Tribolium castaneum: one gene and its partner. The protein of the gene in region 1 purifies or fractionates together with the protein of each later gene. This does not show direct contact. Links are inferred from orthologs where the notes say so. Each region holds a gene or a part of one and is shown on either strand. Other genes may lie near its edges.

The links.
Region 2: the proteins of Prp16 (region 1) and nudC domain-containing protein 1 purify together in Homo sapiens (co-immunoprecipitation; 3 studies listed by BioGRID and IntAct, with this or other methods). This does not show direct contact. The link is inferred for Tribolium castaneum from reciprocal best matches to the Homo sapiens genes DHX38 and NUDCD1.

Annotation. Positions count from the first base shown.
Region 1 is NC_087394.1:24,689,449-24,693,279, forward strand, and holds part of Prp16 (pre-mRNA-splicing factor ATP-dependent RNA helicase PRP16), read left to right. Parts: intron 1-1,802; coding exon 1,803-2,315; intron 2,316-3,831. UniProt on the Homo sapiens protein: Probable ATP-binding RNA helicase. Involved in pre-mRNA splicing as component of the spliceosome.
Region 2 is NC_087394.1:22,049,137-22,053,067, forward strand, and holds the start of nudC domain-containing protein 1, read left to right. Parts: upstream 1-1,367; coding exon 1,368-2,795; intron 2,796-3,931. Other genes in the region: protein IMPACT-B, read right to left, coding at 427-624, 679-912, 970-1,211.

The DNA of each region.
Region 1 (3,831 bases):
CACCAGATTTTATTAAAAGATACCGGGCGTATAAGTTGATTCTACAATTTTAAAATTGTTTTTACGTTGTTTGTGACTTTTAGCACGTTTTTGACTAAAAATGGACTTAATTTCTCCAAAAATCACCAAAATAGTGCACGTGCACAAATTCTACTGGATTCGCAGTGGCCATTATTTTTATTAACAATGTTTTTCGGGACTTTAATAAACAAACTCAGTTAACTAAAAATTTTTAGAGAAAAATTAAATATTTTCGTTTAATTTTTTTTATAATTTAAGAAGTAAGTCATCTAAGGATTCAACGCTAAAGTTTGAAGTTATGTTTCACCTTTACGTTCATTTCTTTTTCTCTCAAAACAAAAGGTATTTTCTCTTTATTAAAATGTGCTCTTACGTTTACAATTTGGCACCTCTACGTACTTTTATCTTTTGCCGCATTATTTTCTTATTTCTGTTAGGTTTATGCTCCGCTCTACGTTTCTACTTCTGTGTTTTCTCAATCTCTCTTTAAATAAATTAACATTACAGTCTTTACAATTGCAATAATTCTCCTAAAACGCAAATACATTCAGTTCAAAAGTCGGCGAATTAGCTCGCGAAAACATTTTCTTCCACTTTTTTTCAATTTAATTCTCTAATTTTTCACCAGATTTCATCAAAAGATACTGGGCGTATAAGTTGATTCTACAATTTTAAAATTGTTTTTACGTTGTTTGTGACTTTTAGCACGTTTTTAACTGAAAATGGACATAATTTCTCCAAAAATCACCAAATTTGTGCATTTTCTAGTCAAAAATAGAGCAGAGCACGTGCGCATATCCTACTGGATTCACAGTGCCCATGATTTTCATTAACAATGTTTTTCGGAACTTTACTAAACAAACTCAGTTAACTAAAAATTTTTAGAGATAAATTAAATATTTTCGTTTAATTTTTTTTATAATTTGAGAACTAAGTCATCTAAGGATTCAACGCTAAAGTTTGAAGTTATGTTTCACCTTTACGTTCATTTCTTTTTCTCTCAAAACAAAAGGTGTTTTCTCTTTATTAAAATGTGCTCTTACGTTTACAATTTGGCGCCTTTACGTACTTTTACCTCTTGGCGCATTATTTTCTTATTTCTCTCTGTTTTATGCTCCGCTTTACATTTATACGTCTATGTGTTCTCTCAATCTCTTATTTTTGTTTACGTGTTGTTTCACTTACCTTTTCTACACTTTTTTTCATAGAAAAATTGTTGCCGTGATCCGGGTTCGAACACCCGACCTCCCCCGTCGTAAGTGGCGCTTATACCACTGGGCCACCGGGCCCCAGGTACTGACCTTCTTTTGCAGATATTTTAACACAAACTTTTTAAATAAATCAACATTACCAACTATATAATTGCAATAATTCACCTAAAACACAAATACATTCAGATCGAAAGTCGGCGAATTAGCTCGCGAAAACATTTTCTTCCACTTTTTTTCAATTTAATTCTCTAATTTTTCACCAGATTTCATCAAAAGATACCGGGCATATAAGTTGCTTCTACAATTTTAAAATTGTTTTTATTTTTTTTTTGTGACTTTCAGCACGTTTTTAACTGAAATTGGACATATTTTCTCCAAAAATCACCAAATTTGTGTATTTTCTACATCTCCAAACCATAACAAAATATTAATAGAAAAATACAGATTGGTATGACTTTTCATATTTCCGCAGCCTTTCTTTAAAATTAATTAATATCCCTAACTTTTTTCTATCATTTTTTTTAATGAAACTCTTTATTGAAATTTTTTCCTTCATCTGATTTTTTCCAGATTGTGGCTCGCCGTCACGACCTCAAACTCATCGTCACCTCCGCCACGATGGACTCGAGCAAATTCTCGATGTTTTTCGGCAACGTGCCCACCTTCACAATTCCTGGTCGCACATTCCCTGTGGAAATCCTCTTCAGTAAAAATCCAGTGGAGGATTATGTGGACGCTGCCGTCAAGCAGGCTCTCCAAATCCACCTCCAACCTCCGTCTGGAGATATCCTTATTTTTATGCCCGGTCAGGAGGACATTGAAGTGACGTGTGAAGTCCTGGCTGAGAGACTTGCAGAGATTGAAAATGCTCCAGAATTGTCAATTTTGCCGATTTATTCACAACTACCGTCCGATCTACAAGCGAAAATTTTTCAACGGTCACCGGAAGGGATTAGGAAGTGTGTGGTGGCGACGAATATTGCGGAAACGTCGTTGACTGTCGATGGGATTATTTTTGTCATCGATTCGGGTTATTGCAAGTTGAAGGTTTATAATCCTAGGATTGGTATGGATGCGCTCCAGGTGAGAATAACAAGAAAAAAATATATTTTAGTGACAATAAAAAATTGCACTTTTTGTACTTGATTATTTGGTTCTACTATGAATTTGTAGGGTTTTTCGTGTTTTTTAAATTTTGATTGAAAACTGAAATGAGTCAAAACGAAAAAAACTGATAAACTTTGGTTTTTATTAGCTATTGAATAGTGCAAACTCGAAGTTTCGAATTAATGTTAGTTTTGACCTTACGTTTTATACATTTTTCTGAGCCTCTTTGAATTTATTTTTATTTTTATTGACTTTTTTGGTGAATTTTTGTTCAATTTTAGCGAACTCTGACAAAAAACTTGAGAATTTACCTATAAAAAATAACATTATTTTTGATTGTAATTTGTTTTTTTTTTGCTCATTTTATCGTTTTTTCTGAAAAAAAAGTTTTTTTGCTGAAAAATGAGTTGAATGGAGTGAAACATCTGATTTTTCAGCTACTTTTAGTAAAATTTTTCGGCAAAATATTAGTTTTCCCTAAATGTGTGCTTAGGTACGTGGAAGATATAAAAATAAACTATTTTGCGTTAACAGCTTTGTGACCTTTTTGCTTGTTTTTGTCCAAATTGTACGAAATATTTGCGTTTCTAGCTGGAACTAAAACTCTAAAACGCTTAAAAAAGACAAAACATTCTTTTTCGTTAATTTGGTGATTTATCGGCATGTTTTTAGTAAACTTTGACAAAAAACTTTAGTTTAAAAACGTGTCAAAACTTTAAAAAATATACGAAATAGACAAATGCAATTTACTTTTGGTCAAATTTGGTGAGCTTTTGTCTTACTTTTGACAAAATTTTAGAAATAAATGCGTTTCTGTGGGAAGAACAAGCTATAACGCTTGAAAAAAATCAAATATCGATTTATTCGGTGAATCTTTGGTCAAAATATTACCAAATAACATTAATTTCAATGTGACTTGATGTTCTTTCAGTTAGTTTTAGCAAAATTTTTGATAAAACTTTCGAAAAACGCAAAAAATACAATTTTTGACTAAATTTTGAGAATTGTTGGCATGTTTTGTCAACATTTAAAGAAATAATTGTGTTTCTAGTTGAAATGTATACTAAAACGCTATAAGTTTGACGATTTGTTGGTCTGATTTAACGAAATTTGCCAAAAAATTGAAAATGTAGTTTAAAAACTTGCCTAAAGTTGTAAAAAGATGAAAAATAACATCACTTATAACTAGATTTTCTGGCGAACTTTTGTTCTACTAAAATGAACTAAATCGAGTGAAACTTCAATGACTCAAATGATATGATAGAATAAAATGTTGGACTTAATGCATACAGTTTATTAAAAAATGTATTCAAAATATGTACATTGAATTAATTATATATTCATATTTGACTGAACAAAAATGTAATTTAGTTTTCAATGTTTGAGACGACGACGAAAATGGAGCACCTAAAGACGACTCTGAAGACTTTAGTGACTTCTATGTCTCCTCCTTTCTCTTCTAATAAAGTGTTGGACCCAATAAATTTATTTT
Region 2 (3,931 bases), about 2.6 Mb from region 1:
TTTTATCAATCTTATTTAAAAAAATAATTCGGTAAAATGCGACGTTGGCGTTTTTATAGATTTGATACAGCTAGTACTTTTCTCAAACATTTGAATTAAAAGCTTTTGTATGAGAGTGAAAAAACTTATACAAACTGCGAAGAGCACATTAAATGTAGATTTGTCGATTATCGAAGATGTAACGTAATAAGTTTATTTTTTCGACAGCAGAATTAACAAAAAAACAAACTTCATTGCTATTGAACAACTTTACCCATTAAGAAACTTCACTTTGCGGTTAAAAAACTAAATGAATAATTATTTTCAGTAGAATAAAGCACACAGACATCTGCTATAGAAAAAAATACATTATGAGCTAGGATTATGAGTTATTATTGTTACCAACGCACCCCATTCGACTCAAACGACATAGAAAAAAACACTCACCATCTAGAAACAACCACCATCACATTGGTTACATTCAAAATTTGTAATAAATGTAAAACACGCCCTCCGGCGTGCGTTTCACCATCGTCATCGCAGTCTTGGAGAATGGTTCCCTGAGAAGTCAAAATTCTATAAGCTGAGATGTTATGAGTTGCTTGAGCAATTTTTTTATTATCAAGTAAAAAATTCATAAATTCTCTATAACAAAAAATTAAATAGAATATCATTCAGTAATTTGGACATGTAAAATACCTTGTCTCTTCTAATGAGTGAACCCGAGCCATGTGACCCTGAAAAACACTTTTTCTGTCTTGTATAATATCCCCATGTATCACTTGTAAAAAAGTTTCCTTCCTGACTTGTTTCTCTTCAACTTCGCCATTTAAAACTTCTGGCTGTGGAGCACTTAAAACTTCTGAACACTCGTCCACAATTTCCTTTAACTTTTCAATCCACTGAAACAGAATAGGGCTTCCCTGGCTACTTCTAAGAAATCATAGTTCAAAAATAATTGTAAGAAGCATAAACACTTCTTGTTCATACTCGTAAATGTTACCAAATTCATCGGAAATTAGCTGCTTCTGCTCTGACGTTAATGTAGGAGCCAATAACTCAAAACTTGGGGGCTTGCTTGACGGATAATCATCATTCAAAGTTATGAATAATTTAACGTTGGGATTAATTTGAATGCTATAACAATTCGTGTCCGTCTCCAGCCGCCAGTTATCATCGTAAATAGATTTCAAAGCTTCAAGTTCCTCACACTGTTCCGCTAAATTATCCATTTTTTTGGAAAACACATTTTAGTTTTGAGGTTATGTTTACACATTTCTGTCATACGTCAGTCATACTTTGACAGTGCGAATTGAGGTTATGATTTTTATTCCAACAATTGTCTTGTAATAATAAATTCAGTGCCACACAGTATTTAATTACACAAGATGCAGTCTCACCCGAAATTAATGGAATTGCGTCCTGATCGATCATTACTGAACTCTGATTTTGACGGTTATAAGTTGTCTTTGGCCGAGATCCCCACAATTAGCGAGCAGTTAAAAGTACCAGTGGACAGATTAGTGCCTGATGTAAATCAGTATTCGTTGCTCCATGCAAAACTCTTTGCTCTTCACAATCATTTGATTAGCGAAAATGATAATGAATCAGTTTATTTTGTTGATAAAGAGTTGAACGTTCAAAAATTTAGCATTGAATCATTGACACACACATTCTGTAAAACAACCGTGTGGACGCTACCTTTACAGAGAGAAAGGAGCTTTGGGGATTACAATATTTCCCTGAAATTTGCCTCAAGTCAGATTGCCGTTGTAGCAGATGGAATGGGCTATCTTTACGTATTAGACAGGGGCTGCAGAGACATTGACGATAAATGGAAGATACTCTTTTCTGGGGACGTGACAGGTCCTGATCAGAAGTTTGTTGTAACTGATGTGGTTTTTAAAGAGGCCCCAAAACCACATTTGCATTTATTACTAACCAGTATAAGACAGAGGGAAGCGAATGAGAGAAATTCAACAATTTTGCACTGGATAACTTTGGAAAAAAGCGATTCGTGGAACCAAGTGGCTTTGAGGGAACTAACAGTTAAAGGCTTCGTCCAGTACGCAAATTTCGAACGCACTTGTGACGCAGTTTACGTAATCAGCGATGATGGTTGCAAATTCACCCTGGATTCGGAAAATGAAATCAAAAAAGCCGAAGAAATTCAAGTTGAAAAGAAATACAAGTGGAGCCAAACCAGTGAAGATTTGACCATTAAATTTCCACTTCCTGAAAATTTTAAGAAAAATTTAGTCCACGTAACCACCGAACCAACCCACATCTCGGTCAAATACGAAAATGAGACTCTCCTAACCGGCAAATTGTATCACCAAATAGACCCTGATGTGACCTGTTGGACCATTGAGTCAAGCACTCTCGTCCTAACTTTACAAAAGTGTGAATCCGGCCTTATGTGGCCAGAAATCGTCGAAGGTGGCTACGTTTTTGGCGAATATTTGCCAGATCCGGCTTTAGTTAGCGAAATTGCGGCGAGATTGGCCCCACTTACGAGCGATACCGAGATGGGGCCGCCCACAGGGACCACTTTCAACAGCCAACAAGTGGAAGAGTGTGACTTTGAGTGCGATAAATTGACTGTGTTTGAACGAATTTCGCGCGATTCGCATGAGGTCACCCATAAAATCAACTTGGGGTCACATCAAGTCCTGCTAAGTGTTGGGTTGGAAGAGAACCAGCCGTTGGCTGTAGGGATCCGAAGTGATGTTGATACGTGTATCTGGCAGCCGACTAATGAAAATGAGTTTCGATTGGTTCATAAGGGTACTTTGCTAGCGCTGGGTTATATTCAGGTGAGTTAAGATATATGGAGGACTAAAACTAAGTGGCGAAACGAATTTGAAAATCACCCAATTTAACCGACTCGGCTCCAAATTGATTAAGTTAATTTAAATTTATGACTTGCTCAAAAATACTTGTTTAAAAAAATTGCAGGAATGTTGGCTTTTAGTTTTTAATCAGCTGTACAAAACTCACGGCTATTATTTTCAAAAGTAATTTTTTTTATCGAGCATTTCACAAAATTTACATATTTAATGTAAAATTGTAAAGCGTGGTAAATACAAACAAACTCTACAATTTAACAAATACAGATTTACTAATCGATATTCCTAATTACAAAAAATGTTTTTTTAAGGTAGCTAAACGTCGTCAGATTTAAATTGGCAAAACCAGCATATTTTCATTAAATACGTTAACTTAATAATTTAGTAGTGCATTGATGACCTTTTGTTTTTCTCAATCACTTTAAGCTTAAAAGTATCTTCAAAATCAAACTAGAGCAAGAAATCAAGAAATGTTTTTATTAATTTTAGTAAAATATATGAGGCATTTGAGAACACTTTTGAAAAGTAAATTCTTTTAATAAATAGATGTATTTTATTTAATTTTTAGTGTTTCGACTGATACGTGTATAAGTTTTTTAAGGCAAATTTTTACTAAACAACAGGGAAGTTTTATAAGGTGTTAAATAAATTGGTACTTGACCAAATCGCACATAAGAATTAAATACATTTTAATAACATATAGTATAAAAAAAATCACACATAATACGTATACGTGTATAAGTAACTTAACTAAGTTACTAATTAGTAATTTAAAATGTTGTGAAGTAAATATGGTCTCTTAAATTGTCTATAAAGCTCTGCTTTAATTCTAAAGAGAAAATTATAATACAATTTAATTTTTTGAGATATCATAAACTTCTAACGAAAAGCACAATTGATCGAACAGTGATTTTAGAATATGGATTGTAATTTAGTTTTTTATTTTAACCTTTTCATGAACGTTATTCACTTTCGGTCTTTCTTTTATACAGAGTCAGTTTAAAGTAACACATAAAATTCGTAATTCTTTTAATTTTAAAAAATAAGACAATGCAAAAACAGGTAAGTTAGCATTTTAATTGAGCTTAAATTTGACCTGACTG